4 linked regions of the Schizosaccharomyces pombe genome follow. The main gene of each other region encodes a partner of the protein of the gene in region 3 in a complex. Each region holds a gene or a part of one and is shown on either strand. Other genes may lie near its edges. The genes, in order: dad1, dad5, dad2 and ask1.

Region 1 (5,205 bases), 300 kb from region 3:
AAACCTAACAGTAATCTATAAATTTTAAGGGCTAACATTACATTCAAAAGTTATTAGAATGTTGCTAATAAATAGCCAGAACATTATTTTTATTATTCATTCTCATTTCTTACTTATTTAAGTGAATTAAAGAAAATGCGTAAATTAGATTTAATCCGTTAAAGTACAAGCAAGTCCCGAGTGGCTCAATCGGTTTAGAGCGTCTGACTCTTATGATGGTCATCAGAAGGTTGCGAGTTCGAGTCTCGCCTTGGGAGTTAATTTTTTGGTTATGGTACTTCAAGGCCAAGTAGAATAATCAATTAATTATTATGTATTTTTACTTCAATAATTTAGTTCCCAAAACCCGTTACTTTATTAATTAGTATAAGCTGATGAATTCACTTATTGAGTCGCCAACTTAACGATGAGGTGTTAGACTAGCCTGCCATATATACTTTTGGCGGTAAATATTTCAATTTCGTTAGGTATTTTTATCTAACTAATGTACACGTTTCTAGCAACCTGAAATGTAGGCTTGTAGAACTAGTTGAAAACAGAACGTTTGGATTATATGAATGATAATGAATACACCGAGCATCTTTTATTAGGCAGACTCAACAATTGACAACTTTGCAATGTCCATTGAATCCTAAAAATAAAAATAGACAGGTATATATACCTATAATTTTTTTGGTGGCTAACAACCTAACTTTTTCAATTAAAACAATTAACCGGCATAGTCCTTCGTAAATTCCATGCACACTTGATAAATTTAAATATGTTTCATCGCGGATATTCCGTTTACTGTTTTATATATTTATTTACCTATTGTTTACGTGCTGCGTTGTCATGGCAATGTTTAGCTTGGAAATACCAGCAATCTCAGCTGGTAAGCAAACATTAACAACAACAAAGGCAATATGTCTGCTTTCAAAAAGAGTGGATCCAAGTCAGGTAATTCAATTGTTCCTTTTTCTCAAATATCTTAAAGTTTTTGCTAATTTTTCAGAGACTTCAAAGAAACTTGTGGTCGTAGGAGATGGCGGTTGTGGTATGCTTGATAAATATAGGTGAATGACAGCTGGTCTAATGTACTAATGCTTGATGTATAGGAAAGACATGTCTTTTAATTGTATTCTCAAGCGGAACTTTTCCCGAGGTATGCCAATAGATCGAACAATAACTGTTTAAGTGCAGTGTTCATATGATTCATGTACTCAGTTCACTTGAATTATCTAAGTATACTGATTTCTAACATCATGCTAGAGATATGTGCCTACAGTGTTTGAAAATTATATCACCGATATAACATATGGACCGAACAGCAAAGTTATTGAACTTGCTTTGTGGGATACTGCTGGTCAGGAGGAATATGATCGTTTACGTCCTCTAAGTTACCCGAATAGCAACGTTATTTTGTTGTGTTTCTCAATTGATTGTCCGGCTTCTCTGAATAACGTTACGGAGAAGGTATGTGCTCTATAATTTATATTGCTAAACGTAGCTTTGGGTTTCTTCAATGTCATTTGCGTCTAGCCATTAGTATTTCATCTTTCTCATATTATTTTCTAACATTTTTCTTTCAGTGGTATCCTGAAGTTCAACACTTTTGCCCTAGAACTCCCATCGTTCTCGTCGGGCTAAAAGCGGATTTACGCAAAGATAGGAATGCTACTGAAGTACTAAGAACCCAGGGTTTAACACCAGTAACCTACCAACAAGTATGTCAATGATAAGCTAACTTTTTTCTTTCGTTTATTTTTTTTAACATATTTAGGCTCAATCCGTTGCTTTATCAATGAACGCTCCATATGTCGAATGCTCTGCCAAAGAAAACACTGGTGTAAATGAAGTTTTTCAACTTGCTGTTGGCCTCACTATAAAAAAATCATTTTCGTTTTCTAAAAAGTCTTGCGTGATTTTATAATATCTTGATCATGGCCTTTATTTACTTAATCTTACCATTTTTGATGTCTTCATTTTTGCTTCGCCTATTTGTATAGCATTTGATGAGATTGTTGGAACATAAGAAGCAAGAAAAACGCTTTATTTACGCATTCTAACATTGCTAATTGCATATAAACCAATACTCCAAACGTTTGCTGCAATAGAGACATTATGCTTGTATGCTTTCTTTTAATCTAAGCATATTGTGTAGCAGTTTCCTTTTCAGAATTTTGCTCCTATCTCAACTTTTTATCTTTTCAGGTATTTAACTAGCCAATATGGTTTAGATGGATTATCGACTATTGGAGCTATTTTGTGATTTATAATTTGTTTATTAAGACGTTATCTGTTTGATTCTGAATATATGTCAGCAAAAATCAATTGGTCTTAATGTTTTTTTTTACTTTTACTTCAAATATGCCTATATTTGTCCGAAACTTTGAAAATCGGTTTTTTAACCCTGACTGGTTCAGGGTATTCATGTCGTGAATAAAACGATAGTTATATAGAAGATATTGAAATGAATACTTATGATTCCTTTTACCTTTTTATTATGCTAAACTGCATTAAACCCCTTTTATAATTTAAATAATACCATTAAAATGGTAATTTCTAAAAGGATTCGTATAGTAGTAAAGAAAAAGTTTACTATGCAAATATTAACATCAACAGTTGTTCTGCCTCTCAGACGATGAACGGCTTATTTAAAAATTGGCAGCTTTTAGAAGAATATAGGAAGATTAAAAACTAATATATATATACAAACACATTATTAATGAAGTGACTTAAGGTTTGTGTATTGTAATATGTAAGTTAATTTAAAAGAATCCTGACCTTTGACCAATTTTTGAGGACGCTATTAAATTTATAGATTCATAAAAAACATATAATAACTAATAATTTAATTTAATATGCAAATTCTTTGAAACAAACTGCGTTAAGGCATATGTTTAGCGGCAATGAAAATACATTTAGAAAAGAACGACCATCAAGGTGCATCTAGCATTTCACGATCTTTCTTCTGTAACACTGAATTTTGAAACTCCTTCCAAAGAGACGCGACATTTTCAAATTCCTTTCCAACACCGTTAATGCTTTCAAGATTTTTATTTAGAGCTGACATAAGATTCACAACTTCATTCATACTTTTTGAAATTTGTAAGGTCAAAAGACGACGCCTTCTTTCAAAATCTATATCATCAAAATCTTTATTTTGCTCATTTTGTATGTTTTCAGTAATATCCATATTTTCTGAGGACATGGTATGTTAATGGCTAGTGTCAAAGTCAAGCATGAGCCAAAGTTTATCATAAGGTTACAATCAAGTAGATCTTATATTAGATTTAACTATCTTCATAATTAAATGCCAAAATTGAAGCTTCCGTACGAGCATAGAATATTAGTCAAAAGAGACATGTTATGCATATTTACAAGTTGGAATAAACAAATACATTAAATATAATAATAATAATAATAATAATAAATCCGGATCAGTACTACAATGTAAATAGAAAAGGACTAAGCTTCTTTTAAATTACTTATTTCCTGAGCGCGGCGTAATCTGCGTTCAAGAATCTCATCTTCCTTAAGTAAAGACCTTTGTAAACGAGCTTCACATCCTACAACAGGGCATACACAAGTTGGATTTAACAGAGACAAAATAGCATCTTTTTCATAAAAATGATTACAGGCTGTCGATAATATTGGGTGAACAATTGGTTGTAAAGTTAAAGGGCATCTGTTATCAAAGGTAGCTGAATATACCATCACTTCATCTGCTTCCTGTTCTTCAGTGTTCATGACATTAAAAAATGTTTTCATAGAAGGAAAGTCAGAACCGTCTGTATTTTGCTCATGCCATATGGTTTTTTTAAATTCAATGTATTCTCCTTGTGTGCCATATTTACCATAGTCGGATTTTTCTTCGTATTCTTGAATGAGTTCCTTAAAAATTTGTGTATAAATATCCAACAAACTTTTATTCTAATTTTGTTAGAACAATTGAATATGAAACAGTAAAAAAATACGTCTAAATTGATGTTTTTACTTCATCTACATATAATAGAAAAAGTAGGAAAGTCATTTCCGTGGTACGTACTTCAAAATCACTTATATTTTCACTGGTTTTGTTAGCCAATGTATCCACCGATTGCTGCATCAATAACAATCTCTGCTTTGCATCCAACAGCTCTCGGATCCCGCTATCAAGCATGTCCAAACACTAAAAGGCAAGTGTTAGTCAGAAGTCATAAAGTAAGCAGCATGTCATATTATGTCTATTTTAGGCTCTCTCTCAATAGCCGGAAATAAGAGGAAGAAAAATATTAGTTAAACAATGTTTTTGTATGTATATTTGTACAGCGAACTTCTTTTTAAAAAACTGTATCTCGACATAACACCACTTTCGAGTTTTAAAAGCAATTCATATTAATTTTTTCCATTATCTTTCGTAATAATGGTACACATACCTCATTATTTTTTATCTCAGCAGCAACTAGAGCACATTTTATCACCTGTTTAATTGAATCGTCAATTTCCTTCAATTGGAAGTCGAAACTGCAATGATTTTGGTTTCCAGGTAATAAATTTTGACTTAAAGCCTCCAAGGAAGTTTTTAATTGTGCTTCACTCATTTACGATTCCATTCGAGAAAGAAGTAGTTACGACGTTTAATTAGTAGACAACGCAATTTGGGATTGAAAACCTATTAATTGCATATGAAAACTAAATGCCACAACACTTATTTCCTTAAATAAAAAAAGAATGTTTTTTAAGCAAGGGTAATAACCACGTTTTAAAATTTAAACTCCAGTACGTTTTTATGAAGATTGATGGCATATGTATAAAGACTAAATAAATTCTTATTTACTGTCACGTTTAATACAAATGAATGGGTTATGAAATATTCTCATTTGGAATTAGAATTTATAATGCATACTTCGGACAATTAACGCTTGACTTTTAGTACCTCTATTACTAAACCAACTATTCAATATGATAAACCAATAAAGGATGATTAAGGCCGTGAAATGTATAAATTAAATTATGTTATTTTCAAAATATTCCATAGATTAGTAGTAAAGTAAAACACGATTAACAAAACTATCCGAGTCTTGTCAATATTATTCATTAAAAAAGCAATCATGAACAAACTCTATCCGGAGACGAAAAATTAAGATTGATAATTAACAAGCTCTTCCCGTAAAAGTGGCGGAGTTGCCTCTATGTAAGGTATTTTATGAAGTTCACAATAGGCCTGGCCCACAGTAACATTTT
Region 2 (5,404 bases), on a different chromosome or scaffold from region 3:
TTAATTTCATTTCAGTATCTGAGTTATCGGCAGTGGTTTCAGCAGAAGAAGTAGGAGGAACGGATTGAGCACTAGAAGGGGCAGTGGGATCAGAGAAAGTGTCTGGGGTTAAAGTATTTGAATCACCATTTGGTGTTAAGTTCTTTTGCAAATTTATAGACATTAAACGCCATGTCAAGTTCTCGACACGACGACCATTAGACAGTTCCGACTTTGCCTTGGAAAACATTTTCCAGAGGTCTGACATCGTGGAATAATCTTCTTTGGAGGAAGATTCGTCCGTGGTAGATTTGTCAAATTTTTTGACAAGTGCTGGATGTTCCGCTTCCTTGAAAAAATTGGAAAACTTTAGATCCATAAGTAAGGTTTTATGCAAAAAATGTTTAATCACAAAGCAGGGATATATCCAAAAATGATACCCAAAAAATCAGTAACTTCAGCCAGCTTGAAATGTGGATAAGAAAGAAAAAGGGAAGTTTCCGAATAAAAAACCGAAACAAAAAATAAACGAATGAAATGAACGAAAGAGATCGCCTCTCAAACGTTAAACAAAAAAAAAGTTGTAGTAAAAAATCACAAAAAAATAATAATATAAGGTAAGATATAAAAAAACAGGAAATCTTAAGCTAGGACCAAGAAAGCTTCTTTAAATGGAAAACACGAAATGGCAGTGAATACCAAGACACACCAACAACGTTGTTTAGTTAGGTACTACTTTGAAATGATTGTGCAAACCACACGAGCGAAGGTAAAAATAGCAAGAAGTTCAAGTTGCTTTGATATGAACAGGTACTTTAAACAAAAAAGACGTGAACCCCAAAACAAAAACGATCTAAAAAGGGGAAATAAAACAACAAAAACGAACTAAAATACCAAAACAAATATAGAAAAATAAAACAGATATAAGCTAGAATACAATCCAGAGGTGTGGTGGAACAAAAAAAAGTAATTTGTAGACAGATTGGGGAATGGTGGCGCTATGGCTTCCTCAAATCAAATTTCCGTTTTCCCTGGAAGAGAGCAAAAAAAGAAGAAACTGCAAAAGAAAACAGATATTTATTGATTAGGTATGTAATAAGGAGGAGCCAAAGCTTAAAGAAATCAATTTACAAAATCGTTTGAAACGTTTAAAATTAGTACAACCTGCTTTTCTTTTTTCGTTGAGGTTGGCAAAGGGACGGCGTTGTTCACACCCATCTAAGCGAGGTCGAAGAAGCTCTCTTCGGTAAATCGTAAGGTGAAAATAAAGAAGCCTAACGAAAGGAACCACTTTTACCTTTTTTTAGCTAGCTATCCAATGATTGTGCGCTATCTCAAATAAAAACCATATGATTGGTACACTGACTGTTTTGTGAAGCGCAATTGACCAATCATTTCTGGTATCCAATTTTTGCAGTTTCCCTTGGTTACTTAGCCGACCGAGCTGACCAATGAACGAGATCACTTATTAGACGAACTAGAACACCCTCTTTTAGCCTGCTATTTTTTACAGAACTGCATCGTACAATGCAGTAACATAGGTTTCGGGAGTGCAGCCCGAGAGTCGCAAAACTCCCATAGCGTAAAATGCCGAAAAGCCGTATTCCGGATGCATAGTTGATACAACTCCAACACCCACATATTGAAAGAAGCCCCAAATACCGCATTGTTGCAGTAAAATAAGAAATAGCCCCATCTAATTAAGAAAGAGCACATTCCTACTTCCTTTCCTGTTATATTTCTCCTTCATTGGGGCACTTTGTCTCTTGTATTCTCCTTTTTATCATTGTCATTTGAGGTCTGCATCAAAAAAGTTGGAGACTCACATAGGAACGTCTTCTTCCACAGCATCTGAAGACTTTTGAATCCTCGCTTCGGACATAACGCGACCAGACGCCATCAGAAGCGAGGCCTGAAGAGCACCAAGACGTCGGATGGCTTCTGCTTGAATTGCGGTAACATGTAAGTGGTTTTCCAAATGAGACATGTTGGATTGCAACTTGGACAGTTGGTCCACCAAACGATTCATTTGAAAGCTTTTCATTTGACTGGGAGATGGAGATGAACTGCTTGTTCGACTAGTTGGCACAATGGTAGAACGACGCATGGTGTAAGGTGAAAGTGAAAGAAGGCAGACAGGTAGATGGAAGGTAAACAAACCAAACGCGTGTGTGATGGGCGAGTGCAGCTTTTAAGACACCGCACTAAAATGCAATCAACCTTCAGTATCGACAATTAAAGGAGACCATTACCCACTTGAGTGGTATTTCAATTTAACAAATTGCAGCGATTTCCAACAATACCGGCCGACGTTAGTATTCCTCAAAAATGAATAAGAGCGTAAAATAGCGTGGAAAGAGTGGCAGAAAAAGGCGACCAGCGCAGCGCACCTATCTTTTATGTAGCTGACAAGAAGGAAAAGGGGGACGGTAAATTTTTCGCTTACTGATAAAAAACCAAACTTTCGTTATATGGTTTAGCGAGACATAATTTCCAAGCTAATAAGTAATACCGAAATCGTTCCTTTTGCTAAATTTTTCGGGTCAGTTCCGTGGAAATAGGCAAAATTATTGGTAAGGATGGAATTATCAAGTTTTGCATAATTTCCATGGAAGTGTAGAAGGAGGATGAAGACGGAACTGATGAAAAGTGCTCCAAAGCTCCGATCACAATCATGTTGGATGAGGTGCTTTGTCCAAATCAAAGGAAATAAAAATTCTCCGTAAGCTCGACATGCTAGGCATCTTATGAGGAAGATAGGCAAATGAGTATTTTAAAGGAAAAAAGAAATGGAAAGAGCACGATCGTTAGACAAATTACATACGGAAGTCAATGTCCGTGCAAGAGAAGACGCAGCAGCGTGATGTGCATCCGTTGTTTTAATTATTGTTTGAATTTTCAAACTTTACTCAACTACGATCGGAAAACCTTTTTTTTTAATAAACTACTTGTCTTAATATCCTCGGGTTTTATTCAGTTTCAAAAGCATCGAGATTTCACTACACTGGGGTTTATCTTTTAGGTCCCCCACATCTATCATTTCACAGAGTTCCATTTCATATCGACGCTAGGATGGGGTTTGACATATAGTCTTCTTATATGTGAAAACATATAGCTTTTCTAATCAGGTTTTGTTTTTTCGTTTCAGATATATCGGAAGTGAGTTGACCGAACAATGGATTTTATCTTAGCATGGACAAATGTATCAATTCCCTGGAAATGATTCTCTTGGAAACAAAAGAAAGGAAACAGGGATACACAAACCAGTCGAGACAAATAAAATCCAACAGGAAAATTGCTTGGTGTAAGGAAATCGTCATAGAATGCTTTATGGGAGTTTGGGAAGTATTTGTAATATTTACATTTTTTTTCTACTTTTTTTTTTTTTAATTTTTTTAGTTAATGTTTGGCTATTTTCAAAGGAGGAATTCCTGAGTTAGATGAAAATTAGTTTTTAATTTGTTTCTTTTTTTTTATATAATCAAGTTGGTTCATTTAGTAACCATGCTTCCTCATACCGCTTTTTCTAATCATATTCATTACCATTTTATAAGTAATTTTTTCAAACATTCACTCATCCCTTTCTAATCATATACCCCATTTTTATTATAGTTTCTTTCATGAAAATGAATGACTCCTACACTCCATACACATACATCGTTTCGTTTCACAATTTTGTACGCTTCCCCATAAAACAAAGAAATACTTCCATTCACCACGCCCCTAACAAAAGAAAAAGAAAAGATGAAGCCCCTTTCCGTCTATGTATATATACCCTTTTTCATGCTCACACGTGTTTTTCCTGCGGTTTATCATTATCGCTTATGGAAGTGATAATGGATATCTCCCAGTTGCTTATTTCCTAAATCACTCATTTCTTATCCTTATTGCGCTAAAAATGATAACAGTCGCATATTTTCCTCGTCCCTGCTAATTTACGAAGAGTTGATTACTTCATTCCAAGAAAGACGTAGGAAGACGTAGGAATGTCAAATTGCGATCCTATTTTCCCAACTCATCTCGCTTTCACTTGGCGTTGTTGGCATTCCTTTGATTATGACGGACATTTACATCCGTAATAGATGATTGCATGTAAACGAATTTTGTGCTTTGTCAAAGTGCAAAAAAGAGCTACCGATAAACGGAGGACCGATTGTGTTGAACAACTGCACTGACTAACACAAATTTATCAATGGAAAAAAGGTATACGTCGGCGATGCTCTGATAACTAAATGAAGGCTTTTTTTTTTCCTTTTGCGACTCGCCTGCCGCCGCACACTTACTCATGTTGATAGCTCAAACAAATCAAAATACTAACTTTAACGCCGACAATGCTCCACTTGCATCTTGTCTATCTTGGCGATTATGGTTACCTCAAACACATACCGTCTTTTACCACTTATCACTAACAACTTTGTGGAGCGGATTTTCATCCTACCTTGATAATCATCTACCCTCGCACCAGTACCGCAGTATTTCTTGATAATGAGAACGGATGCAGACTAGATGGGGCAGTAGTAAAAGAGCTCGCAAAAGAAACATGAAATTTCATAAACAAATGCTGACGAAAGTATATGAATGAAACTAACATTAACACAAATATGAAATTGAGATTTGAGTCAAACCCAATAATTAAATCCAAACTTTACATGAAACTGACTAGTACCAAAAATGATCAAAACCATACAAATACAGTCTACCCACTTTGGCTGAGAAATCGCCTATCAAACATGACTTGCTTAGTTGGCCCAGTCTATTACATTCCTCGACATATCCGTATACAAGGAAGATGATGATGGAGGAACACTTGATAACATGATTAATAAAAGTCTTTCGAAATCTAAAGCATTCCATTTGTTATCGAGCAAAAGAATAGAGGTAAAAAAAAGTTTTTGTTGTTCATCAGAAGGACCTTTATTTTATTTTTTTTTTGGGTCTTTGACTTTTTCTATTGAGGTATCCATACTAAAAGAAACATTAGAGAAGCCTTTGCAAATCATCACTTTTCTCTTCTTCTCTTTTCTTACTTCGTTTAACGATCTTCCATACGTTTTGTCTTTCTCAGCACCTGAATGCGTAAAAAATGAAATTTTTAAAATCCCACCCCCGTTAAACGAACATTTTTCATTCCCTGTCAAATGTTGTGCTTATCAATTCATTTTGCGTAATCGATTTCTCCTCATTTGGTGTAATTCAGAAACAATCCATCTTACTTATCTGATAGATACCGTGGTAATTGAATCATCCACTTTCTGGTGTACAGGATCACTGATATACATTTTGCCGCAGCCCGACGTTTTTATCTATCAGGGCTCGGGATCCCTACGACCCTCGATAATTGACTATCCACGTGAGTAATTTAGCCTACATTAGTGCCCCGAGGCATTGCACAGATGCGAGATGTCCTATTGTACTCCGAGAAAAG
Region 3 (5,693 bases):
AGTAAACGTGGATAATGTACTTTACTTTATTCTAACTGCCATGAAGTATTGAGACAAATCTATCAAATTATATAAATTAAATATTAAATTTTTAACATGTCCGTTCATCGCTTGCAAAAGGAGTCAATAGGATATCACGATAATTTGGCAACCTACGGTTGTCTAAGATAAAATCTTGTTCTACACACGAATTTAAAGTATTTTAAAAGAAAGAAAAACAATTTCTTTCGTAAATAACTGCTACAGATTATAAACGAAAATTTTTAATAAACAAGAACCGGTAATCGCAGATTCGAAAAACAATTTCATAAGTGAAACTCTAGACCATTAAAGAATATAAACAAAATAATTTTTCAATCATGATAATTTTGAAGATGATTGATTTCGCATTATTTTTTGTTTAATATTCTAGCCATTCCAATAATTCAGGAGTAAAGTAAGTCAAAACTATGTTAGCGCCAGCACGCATAAAGCCATCCATGGTTTCCATCACATGTCTTTTTAATTCAAATACGCCAGCGGCAGCAGCAGCATGAATAATGGCGAATTCGCCTGAAACTTGATAAGTAGCAATAGGAAGGTCATCTGCTAGCTTAGAAGCCATTGCCAAAATATCGAGATAAGGTGTTCCCGGTTTTACCATAATACCATCAGCACCCTCTCTAACATCGCGAAGAATTGCTCTTTTGGCCAAGCCACGTGCATTACAGGGAAGTTGATAACAGCTGCGATCACCAAATTTTGGGGCACCATTAGCAGCAGCTCTGAAAGGACCAAAAAAACCAGAAGCGAACTTTGCAGAATAGGAAATAACGCATACTTTATGAGACAGTTCCAACTCTACAAGTTTCTGCTTAATCGCCTTAACACGACCGTCCATGCAGTCACTAGGAGAAATTATTTGAGCGCCTGCCAAGGCATAATTTCCACTAACTTCAGCAATTCTCTCAACGGATTTAGCATTATTGATAGTGCCATCTTCATATAACAGACCACAGTGGCCGTGATCAGTATACTCGCAGAGACAAACATCACAAGCAACAACCAGCTCCGGAAAAAGGTGACGAATTTCTTTAACGGCTTTAATAACTGGTCCATTTTCGGAATCGGCCATGCTACCACAATAGTCCTTTTTGGACTCGATGACACCAAACAGAATTACACTACGAAGACCTTTTTTGACGAGAGGACCCAAAAACTCTTCCAATCTATTAACACCCCATCTAAATTGATTAGGCATGCTATCAATGGCTTCCTTAGCATCATCTATTTCGGAAATGAAGATAGGATACATTAGAGATGACTTGGTAATGGGACGTACACCTTGCCATTCACGAAGCAACGGGTTTGAATACCCAGCATGCAAAAGAGAACTGATATCAACAGGCATATTAAATACTAACTGACAAAATTTATTTGATTTTTCCTAAAGATGTAAAACTGCGTAAAAAAAGCAGATTTGTGACAAATGGAACTAATGGACCAGCAAAAGCGCCTTTTATTGGTTATTTAAAAAAGTTCTAGCGGAAGATCAACAAGATTTCCTAAGAAATATTTTTAAAAAGGTAAGTGGCAGATGGCGAGAGGTTGGCGAAGGTTAAGATAAATAAGTTTAACTTTTTTTTAAAAAATCGGGCATCGGACCACGATATTTGTTGATTACATAACAATAGTATCACTCCTGAATAAATTGTTTGTCCTTGAAGAAATTAATTGTCGTAAGGGAATGCTGGGAGTATTCAAACAAGCGAAACAGGACGAACGCCAAAAGAAAATGACCAAATGAAAAATTTAGATATCATTTAGTTTACAAGGTGATCTCATTCTCCATTTCATTAGGAAGTGAAGATACTTGGAACTTGGGTTTGCTGTCGGCTTTACCAATTCTGAAATAGAAGAAACAATATGAATAAATGGACAGAACAATAATATTTATTTTAACCAATTCTTGGCCTTTTCTACTTCAGTGAGAAATTAAAAAGAGTATTTAAGTCTTTATACCTCTTCAACATCGCCTTGCTCCGTAGCAGATGCGTTGGTATTTGAAGTAGAAGGAGGAATTCGGACTAAAGCTCCTGAATGTTGGGATGCTATCTGTATTGACTCAAAAATGCTGGGCCAATTATTGAGAACAGTAGCAACAGCTGATTTTGTTAGTGATTTGAGTGTCAAACATTTATTATAATGGATTAAAAAGAGTCGTCAAGCATGTATGAGTAGTAGTGAAAATAGAAAAAATAAATAAATAAACAGATTATATTTTTTACGTTTAGGTGAATTATTGAGAGGTAGAAGTTCATTTAGAGACATGTCGGCAAATGATTGCTTTTATTTGCAATCCTGCAGATCCAATCAATTCACTTGTTTCTTTGCTTTTCTCAATGTAATGATATTTATACTTGTTCACATGAATAGCACTTAAACAGATTGGTGACAAGGCTCTTTTATATACTTTCCTCGTAATGAACATACCTTCACTTCCATCTGTTAAAGTTTCCAATTTAGCAGCAAGCGTTTCTATTTGTTGAACCATATCATTAGAAGAATCTCTTAGTTTGCATATTAGTTCGTATTCCTTTTGCTTTTCCTCAATCCTTGCTTGAAGCATGTTCACGCCAAATGTTTGTAGAAGAAGGTACGAAATTTACTAGATTTATCTCCTACACCATATAAGGCGATTTCGGTTTTGTAATTATACGTTTAAAACAAATAATTTCCGTTTCTGGAATTTTATATCTCGGAATGTATTACTAATAAAGAGGTTGATAATAGAGACTAACAAAAAATATAATGATTGATTTTACTCAATTTTAACCATTTGTTTTCATCTTTAATAAATTAGTTAGTTCATTAATTTAAAGTAATAATGAATTTAGGAAACTATGTTGAATAGTGAATATAATTACTCAAATAATGGGTCAAGTTTAGCTAGCTTATTATATCCATATTTTACTAAGTAAGTATGCATTGCTTCATCCCTCTAAAGTTTTAAAGAGGATCAAAACTGTGCATATTCTCTACTATTTCTTCTTTTATTTTTATTTTTATTTTTTTTTACACAAGGTATAATGGGCTTAAAAGACTTTTAAGATTTGGGTTCGATAGTATATTCTTTTGGTCAACAAGATTGTCAACGTTCCGATACATAAGGAAATGAATTTTTTATTCTAGACAGGATGCAACTTCCACGTATGTTTTCTAAAATTTGAACCGTATTTGACTAATTTAAAAATTCATAAAATGTCTCATCCACTATTGAAGTTTCTTCAATGATCGGTTCCAACGGGTCGTTAAAGAATACCCAACTTTTTTAGAACAAATTATAATAGAGTGGCTATTATCCATTTCTAATTAACAACTTTTTAACATACATCAAACCCTTGTTTACATGGTAATCGAGTATTTTCCTTCGCAAAAATTCACTATTACTCCAAATACTCAGTTACTGAATTGTTCGATCTCACAATTAAATTTCGCGCAGTATGTTATTATATTCTATATACAGTTTTAGAATAACGCACTTTATACATGGTTTTCGGCAATAACGTTTACATTTATATAACAATTAAACAAGTTATAATACCGTTATATCACAGAATGTCCCTGTAAATAAAAGTCAGTAAATAATCTATAGGAAAGAAAAAAAAGGAAAAGGATAAAAGGGTTAGGGGATTGAAAGGATCATTGATTTAAAATCTTTGGGTAGTAGCATCTTTATGTATCGCAGTACCGATGAGATCTTCTCCATTTTTGTAAAATTATTGAAAGAACTAATGGTAGGAATACTAAACATAAATTATCTTGTAGTTTTATTCAATGATCAAATAGTTAAAGATTTGGATGATTTCGCTACATTGATACTTGGATTCTATGAACAGCAAAACAATCGCTTTCCCTTCATGCTGAATTAACATTTCGATAACTAAAAACAGATTCTATACACTTTAAGTTCAGAGAATTTAAATTGTTGTTTTTTCCTTCGGCCCGTCTTCAAAGAAACACACTCAATTCATTACTGAAACTGGACTTGCTAAGAGTATTGTTAAAAGCGTAAAGCACACATTAATGTCTTTTGGTAATCCAAACACCAGTAATTATGTGTAATTATGAGTTTTTTCGATACAATTATTACGGTTAGAGGAAGACATGGTTTCCAAAATCATTATGCATTTCTTTCGAAATCAATTATCGATGTTTCAACCATCAACTGTTTTCAAATTGGTATTAATTAAAGAATGTAAGAAATAGAAATAAACGCTGTTTTCCTTTAAAGCAATACTTGATGCTTTATTTGAATTATCTCATTCATCCCAACGTGAAGTTGACGATTCGCTGTAAGCGAAAAATCCTTACTTAACTTCAGGTTTAAAGCAAAAAGAAATCAACAATAAAAAGAAATGTTAACGTGAGTTATGTTCGCGTTGAACTTTGTATCGATGGGGTTGTCACCGTTAAACGTCGTACTAGCTGTGGGTGTCTTTATCTCACTGCGTACCCTCCTTGTACTCATCAAAATACCCCATTTCGAAATGAGCTGTGTAAGTCGTCAAATACGCGATTCGTTTACTAATTTGATTATGAAAATAGCCTATAGATTCCAAAAAACTTGAAGAAATTTGCCTAGAAGCTGCTCAGCCGGTTTTGAAGGCTTCCGAATATGACGGAGACAAAACAGCTGAAATGAATCAATCTGTTATTGTAAGTTCATTTTATTTTACAAATATCTATGTATGGTAGCTAACTTTATGTCTCATTTAGTATGCCGTATTAAATGCTTTGAATAAGGAAACCCAGTCTTACAAATGGATTGTTAGTTCCACTCTTGTACAAAAGCTTCCCGAAGATCATCCTTCTAGAGGCGTTCACGCAGCTCACGCTGCTTGCTGGAATTGTGAAAAGGATGGAATGACTACTATCAAAGAGAGCGGTGAGGCTATTGACGTAGTATTGAGCATTATGTGGATCTCCATTTAATTACCATATTATCGAAACTGTTCCAATCATGATCATCTTCAAAGACCTCTTTGTTTCATTCCCTCTTTTTATCCCCTGGTACCAGTTTTTGCCTTAGATGCAAATTGCCTTTAACTTTGCAATTTACTAACTTTACTATCTACTCTTCTTTTCTACTTATTCCTATTATATGCAATCTACGATAGTTACGTTTCTTAAAATTCAGACATTTGTGAGCGCTCTGTAACATGTTCGTATTTTATAAGCATTTTGGTGTGTATACGATTCGTGTTCGTCCTTTTTCCAAAGGTTACAAAGGACGTTGAATCGTGTCAGTATTAGCTTGATCGAGCTTTACTTTGCTTGAACTCTCTAAGACTAGCAAGAAACTGAGGTACTTACAATAAAAATAGCGAAAAAGATTTTAAATTTGTTATATCATATACCTTTGCTTTAAGATTAAAATCATACATCTTTTTACAAGGCAGTAAAATGTTGTTTCAACTATGTAATTTATTAATTAATGTTTGGGAGCACCTGTCTAACTACCACGTTATTAGCCTACTAAACGCCATGCAGGCTTTTGCTTATAAACTATGATAATAGAGAAAAGTATAAATGCTAAGCAACTTTCTTTAAAGTTGTGGGATTCTTTTGTCAAAGAAAAACAAGTTTCTTTTGTGGCTGAAGGAGATGCTACTGTAAAACTAGTAAGTCTAGTTGAACTATTAAAACGTCGT
Region 4 (5,974 bases), on a different chromosome or scaffold from region 3:
CATGTCAAGCTCAAAATAAGCAAATTTGAACCCATATGCATGCGTTAATAGCGTTTATCGTAATATTACCGCAAATACTTAAATTTTGTTAGAGCATTTAAGGATTATTTAGAATACGTAATATTTCAACTCAAAATACTGGAATGAGTGGGAAAGAAAAATAAATTGATCTAAACGCTGAAATTAAACCTAACAGGGGATTGATTAAAGCTTGGCTCACGAAAAGATATTATGACTTAAAAATGCAAGAAAAAGGAGAAACAATCAAAGGACTTTCGTTGATCTCGTAGGAAAAGAATGCACTCTCAAATTGCATTATTAATCCTACATTCAATTAATTAGCTTTTGCTTTCATCCATGCAGTCACGGTTTCAAGAGAAAAGGATATCAAATTTTCACAAAGAAATTAAAACAATGATTAACAAACTAAATGACACAAGTTTTCTAAAGTGCTTGGAGTAATGAATATTATCTCACAACTAGAATTAATCCTCAAGGTGCTCTTCGATGTCTTCATCATCATCAGCGTAAGCATCAAGAGGAGATTTGTCTTGATTCTTAAAGTATTCTTCACGTTGTTTGCGAATACGGCGGCGTGCTGAATAACCCCAACGGAATTCGGCATCAGGATTTTCTTCTTCTTCCTCATCATCCGTGTCAAATTCTCCATGTTCTTTGGGCTTCGTGCCATGCGTCATTTCCGGATCTAAAGTACCATCTACTTCGCCTTCTAATAAAGATTTTCTATGTTCTCTCTCCTGTATCTTGGCTCCCAACTTCATCAAATATGGCCGGATTAACATATATCCTCCAACATATACGATAATTCGAATCCAGTCCTTCAATGAATATGATTGTAAATAGCCTGCAACGTCAAACCCCATTTTCCTTGCACAAAAAAGAGTGGTGGATACTAAGTTCACCTGTCTGCTCAACCAGGCAAACTATTATTAACCAAGTCACTAAAATTCTTTAGACTTTTTTAGAATTTTTAAAACCTCGTTATTCGTCTTAACGTATATTCTCAATGATATGCTGTAAAAAGATTTATTAATTAGGCTATAATACTAATTTATTTAAAAATTTTATAGTTATTTGCTTTCTTAGTTTATTTTAAAATTATTTTCATACAAATTTTACTTGGTTTACAGTATTTATACCGTGACTTATGATTCTCTTAAAAGAAGAATTTTCCAAATTAAATAGAACGTACAGTAAATAAAAAATTATATAACATAAATATAAGGTGGGATTTTATGAAGTAGACATATGTGCTTAGAAAATAAATAGAAAAAATGCGAAAGTAAGGTTCACTACTAAAGGCGAAACGAAGGTGATAACTTCAGCAGTGCTTTATCAGAGTTCCCAACTATCTTCTTCTTTGACAAAACTATCATTAGAATCATTCAAGGTTTCTAATTTCCTCTGCAAAGACAGGCTTCGCTCGTTGGCTTGCTGAGAAGAACCCACCCCCATGGTATGCGGGCTGAATTGGATAGTTTTAGGTGGAGACATTCCACTTGGGTTAATGCTATCATAGCTTTCATGCTCAAATTCTGCAAATAAAGAAAGAGCATGCGAAGAGTTTCTATCGTTAAGTGAAGGCATGTCCATTTTCATTGATATGGGAGAAGGCGATACAAAAGGAGAAGAATCAATATCCATTACTTCTTGAGATTGCAAATTCTTAGGCTCACGTGGAGTCACTTGTACTTGCCAATTTGTATCTAAAACGCGATGCAGAAGGGCACTACGACCTGTATGAGGATTATTTTCTGGTTTTCTTAGCGGAGTCTGCATCCTTGCCGGGATGGGGGTCAAAGCTGCATCATCTAACGAAATATCCTCTAAGGAGACATCCATCTTCTTAGGAGTGGACTGTACAAAATCCTCGTTTTTTGTATTATCTCCTTGTACAGCTGCATCGGGAAAATCAGATTTTCCGACAAAAGAATGCCTCTTTTCCAAATGTTCATTCTTTGTGTGCAGCTGTAGGTCCGCCTCTGTAGAATTAGACATAACATCTTGATCGCTTGGATTGGATTCTACTGGAACAGGTTCCTCTACACCCGAAAGTGAAACATTGGCACTTGCTTCAAAAAACTGCTTCCAAAACTGTTTTCTGTTAGCTTAATTCTTAAAATAATACAAATTACAAGCTGAATCATGAGTGGCAGTTGCCATTGAACATACTTTTGAAGAGTCCCATATAGTGTTACAATTTTTTGCGTATTTTTCCACGATAGGCAAGATTTTGGTAGTCACTGTTCGATGACATTTAGAAAAATTTGCATCAATTTCGTAAAGTGCTAGAGTAATCGATTGTTCCAATCGTTCTAATCTAATTCTTTTGTTAGAGAATGTTTATCTACAGTCGCGACAAGTTTACTGCATACTGTTCCAAATTGTTCATAAGAATGACATCTAATACTCATAAAAACTTTGAAAATATTATTTCTTAGTATAGAAACTCTCAATGGTGAAATTTATGGCGAACTGCAACTGAGGTGTAGGTATACTAGCGTCCATTATTAGCGATGTTTCGTAAAGTAAACAAGTTAAATTGGCAATATACAGTGAGATTTTTGTAAGTTCAAGATAATACTAATACAATCATTGTTGAGTAATAAATATGAATTTTAAAGTTTTGTTTACTTTCCTCAGTGGACTAAATGCAGACTGCAATGATCAAATGATCCATAGTAAACAAACATTCAACTTGTCTTTTGCCAGCATCCTCAAGATCCAAAATGAGTAGTATCTTTGGAGAGAATATTGTTTCAGATAGTATAGTAAATATGGAGTTGACGAACCCTGATAATACTACGACTATGCATCCCATCTATGAAACTAACATTGAAAAGGAAGTCCAGCAGGAGTTTTCTGACAATGTCTCTGAAAAAGAAACGATTGACTCAACTAAAAGCAAAATATCTTTAGAAAATATACAGCAAGAAATGGGAGCACTTGCCAAGAAAATTTTTCATAAATTAGGGGTTAAAGCAACCGACTTGGGATTTTCTAATGAGCATGATGACTCGCAGGATTCATTACAGACACTAGCGCCTTCTCCATCATATGTTCCACTTTTGAAGGTTATTGGAAGCTCTGAGGAGGTCAATAGCAACTTGGTATTAACCGACTTGGAAACAAATACTGATGGATATGATCCTAAATTTTTGATTTCTGTTAGGAAGTTTTTGATGGGATCTCCCAACTCTGGCTTTGTCGTTAAACATGAGAAACGTCTTCCAGATGGACCGCGTGTTCTGGCCCTTCGAGCCATTTCATCAGTCGATGAAGAAAATAGAAAAGAGCGCCTATCTCCTGATAGTGATCCTGTTGAAACAGAATCTGTTTATGTTGACAATGGAGAATTGTCAAATCAAAAAGTAGAAACAGTTGAAATTTCCGAAAAAGAACAAAATGATGATCCCGCCGGATATTCTCAATACCTTCTAGAGTTCAAGAAGAGTAAATGTCAAAAGAAAGTGCCGACTTTAGAGAGTATTGAGGAAAATGAAGGAACGGAACCTCATGACAACTTGACCTTTATGACTGATTTGGGAACTCCATACTATTCTCTGGGTAATGAATTTGAAAGAAAGCAAATTTTGGATGAATACGGGTTGCTGGCTAATGATGAAAACCTAGTTATTGGACACACGTTAAGAGCGGAGTATTGCTTTATGTTTGATGAAAGCGATATCCTGCAATTACGCAATTATGAACATACAGAAAAGGAACTTAGTGTCCTTCAATTTAAAGGGGTCTCGTCACGTTGGGATTTTCGTTGCTGTAGAGAAGAACGTTTACTCCGATTGCTACTATGTTTCGACAGTGAACATACTGGGCAATCTTTCATTCAACTGAACGATCCTGAAAATGAAAATGAAAAGGAAGAACAAAATTCCATTAGCATTAGGGAATTATCCTACTTCAGCACAAAACTTATTTCATTGATCTTACCCAAAGAAGCACATAAGCAGCGGTATATCATGCTAAGCTCCTTAGCAAAGACAAGGGAAGCTGATTTCTTTTGGTCTGAAGAGGAAAAAACTAATTATACAAACGAGCTTCTCAGCAACCCATGCAAATTCCTTTGTGAACTAGATCATTTCGATTCATTTCCTCATCAACAACAAGATCTACTCTGGAAGTACTTAGCGGAGTTTTCTGCTAGTTTAGAGTTAGACCCCAACCTTGCCCTTTGGAAGAAGCAAGTTATTTTTTCAAAAATCGGTCATCCGAAGTTGCTGGTTATGCCAATATCTAGTTTCCACTGCGTACAACGTTTCCCTGACCTTGTTTGCGTTCAAACTTCAACTGCTGAAACGTTTTTGTCTGTGGATCGTGAATTAACAACTTATGACCTAAACACTATTAAGTTGTTAAACACAGCACCTAGTCGTACAGCTCAAAACTGGCTTTTTATCATGCATCACCTAGAAATTGTAGGCTATTTATTTCCACATTTGGTTCATCTCGATAAACAGTATAGTTTATTAGATTATGCAAAGTCTGTTGAGCACATTCCAGAATTGGGCACTGTACAACGAAAAGGGTTTTTGAACAAAGTCGCATTTGATGATAACGAGGCTTTACTTTACCAAGTTTAAACGTACTGTCACATAATTTTCTATCACATGTTATCGACCATTCAGTGTTGAGGTTCCTAGGAATCTCTTCTAGGATGGTAGTGTACCTTTTAAGCGAAATTTTGTTTCATCTGCACATTCATTATTTACAAACCTATACGAACTTGACAAAAGTTTTTACGAATATACTAAATATTGACTTATTAATACTTGAAAATATTATCACTTTTTTTGAGGTGGTCTAAGTAAAAATGTGTAGGTCGAATTCGTCACATAGGGTAATAAATGTAAGTGTAGGACCGTTAAAGTATGCTCTAAATAATCTTTTAACATATAAAAAGTAATGTGGATTATTTGCAAACACCATAATGAATGTTGATCAAAATACCGGTTCAACGTCGATAAATAACAAACAGCAGAGCCCACCGATACACAAACCTAAAATTGCAAAGGGACTTTAATAGTCGTATAATCTGGAGAATGAAATGCTTAGCGACCGATCATTGCAACGTGATAATAGGTTGGCTTAGGTGCTTTGTTTATTTACATTTCAATGTTAGTTGTCATGGAAACGAAATTCATACAAAATAAAGCGTATGCGGCTGTAAACAAACAAAAGATTCAACATTTACATTTACCCATTTTACCCAAAAATGGGGTTTCATGGATGTTTAAGTACAGATGAATATGAACCTGAGTTAATTGAGAAATATGGGAATCCTGAACCACCTTCTTCAAGCATATTAATTAATACACGACCAGTCAATCCATTTTTATCCACTTTCGTGTATGTAGGAAAGGCTAGCAGTTCTGAAGATGTGTCTATATCTACAGGTGAGGAGGAAATGCGAACCCTTTTAGTTGCGTCTGCTGTTAAAGATGCAAAAGGTTGGGTGTACCTTTCCGGAAAAGACGTTGAAGAAATAAAACAGAAAATAAAAAACCTGCAGGGATTACTTGGTGTTTCTATAAAAAAACTGGCTGTCGAAGCCAAAATTAGAGAAGCTGCTAAGAATTTGATGGTTGCCCAAGCTAAGGAGAAAAAAGGAAAACATAAACAAAGTACGATAGAGCATTACGAACAATGTTCTCGTAGAGTTAGAGAACTTTCTTCTAAGATATGGCTTATTGAAAGGAAACTTGCAGAATTTTATATGCACCTATTGAAGCATATGGTTGCTGTGTGCATTGCTGAGCTTAAACCAGGTAGCTGTAGCAAGGTATCTTCACCGGTTTCTGCCATCACCGCTGATGAGAGCGCAACTGGATTTCGAGATGAAGAAATAATGAACAATGAGGAAATTGAGCAGCTTGTAGAGCGTATGAGCCGTATACTGGAAATTGCTCAATCAATGGGTAATTCAATTCGTGAACCA

What was found.
Region 1: dad2 (region 3) and dad1 share a complex: the UniProt entries of both Schizosaccharomyces pombe proteins name them as parts of the DASH complex.
Region 2: dad2 (region 3) and dad5 share a complex: the UniProt entries of both Schizosaccharomyces pombe proteins name them as parts of the DASH complex.
Region 4: dad2 (region 3) and ask1 share a complex: the UniProt entries of both Schizosaccharomyces pombe proteins name them as parts of the DASH complex.

The regions. Positions count from the first base shown.
Region 1 is NC_003424.3:3,086,136-3,091,340, forward strand, and holds dad1 (DASH complex subunit Dad1), read right to left. Parts: upstream 3,206-5,205; 5' UTR 3,191-3,205; coding exon 2,918-3,190; 3' UTR 2,649-2,917; downstream 1-2,648. Other genes in the region: Rho family GTPase Rho4, read left to right, coding at 903-936, 992-1,033, 1,095-1,141, 1,249-1,452, 1,569-1,703, 1,760-1,909; Smc5-6 complex non-SMC SUMO ligase subunit Nse2, read right to left, coding at 3,448-3,912, 4,028-4,150, 4,398-4,562; taz1 (telomere length regulator), read right to left, coding at 5,102-5,205. UniProt on the Schizosaccharomyces pombe protein: Component of the DASH complex that connects microtubules with kinetochores and couples microtubule depolymerisation to chromosome movement; it is involved in retrieving kinetochores to the spindle poles before their re-orientation on the spindle in early mitosis and allows microtubule depolymerization to pull chromosomes apart and resist detachment during anaphase.
Region 2 is NC_003421.2:1,668,520-1,673,923, forward strand, and holds dad5 (DASH complex subunit Dad5), read right to left. Parts: upstream 2,344-5,404; 5' UTR 2,087-2,343; coding exon 1,802-2,086; 3' UTR 1,425-1,801; downstream 1-1,424. Other genes in the region: DNA-binding transcription factor, nutrient sensing, zf-GATA-type Gaf1, read right to left, coding at 1-358; SPOM_SPCC417.03 (uncharacterized protein), read left to right, coding at 3,484-3,532, 3,724-3,845. UniProt on the Schizosaccharomyces pombe protein: Component of the DASH complex that connects microtubules with kinetochores and couples microtubule depolymerisation to chromosome movement; it is involved in retrieving kinetochores to the spindle poles before their re-orientation on the spindle in early mitosis and allows microtubule depolymerization to pull chromosomes apart and resist detachment during anaphase.
Region 3 is NC_003424.3:2,783,541-2,789,233, forward strand, and holds dad2 (DASH complex subunit Dad2), read right to left. Parts: upstream 2,753-5,693; 5' UTR 2,609-2,752; coding exon 2,473-2,608; exon of another isoform or gene 2,442-2,472; intron 2,145-2,441; coding exon 1,996-2,144; 3' UTR 1,619-1,995; downstream 1-1,618. Other genes in the region: porphobilinogen synthase Hem2, read right to left, coding at 401-1,390; dynein light chain Dlc1, read left to right, coding at 4,530-4,538, 4,588-4,698, 4,759-4,974; protein Pop6, read left to right, coding at 5,550-5,693. UniProt on the Schizosaccharomyces pombe protein: Component of the DASH complex that connects microtubules with kinetochores and couples microtubule depolymerisation to chromosome movement; it is involved in retrieving kinetochores to the spindle poles before their re-orientation on the spindle in early mitosis and allows microtubule depolymerization to pull chromosomes apart and resist detachment during anaphase.
Region 4 is NC_003423.3:1,561,152-1,567,125, forward strand, and holds ask1 (DASH complex subunit Ask1), read right to left. Parts: upstream 2,501-5,974; 5' UTR 2,414-2,500; coding exon 2,397-2,413; intron 2,342-2,396; coding exon 2,194-2,341; intron 2,116-2,193; coding exon 1,357-2,115; 3' UTR 1,175-1,356; downstream 1-1,174. Other genes in the region: protein trafficking protein Pga2, read right to left, coding at 486-884; protein meu25, read left to right, coding at 2,751-4,619; septation protein Uds1, read left to right, coding at 5,252-5,974. UniProt on the Schizosaccharomyces pombe protein: Component of the DASH complex that connects microtubules with kinetochores and couples microtubule depolymerisation to chromosome movement; it is involved in retrieving kinetochores to the spindle poles before their re-orientation on the spindle in early mitosis and allows microtubule depolymerization to pull chromosomes apart and resist detachment during anaphase.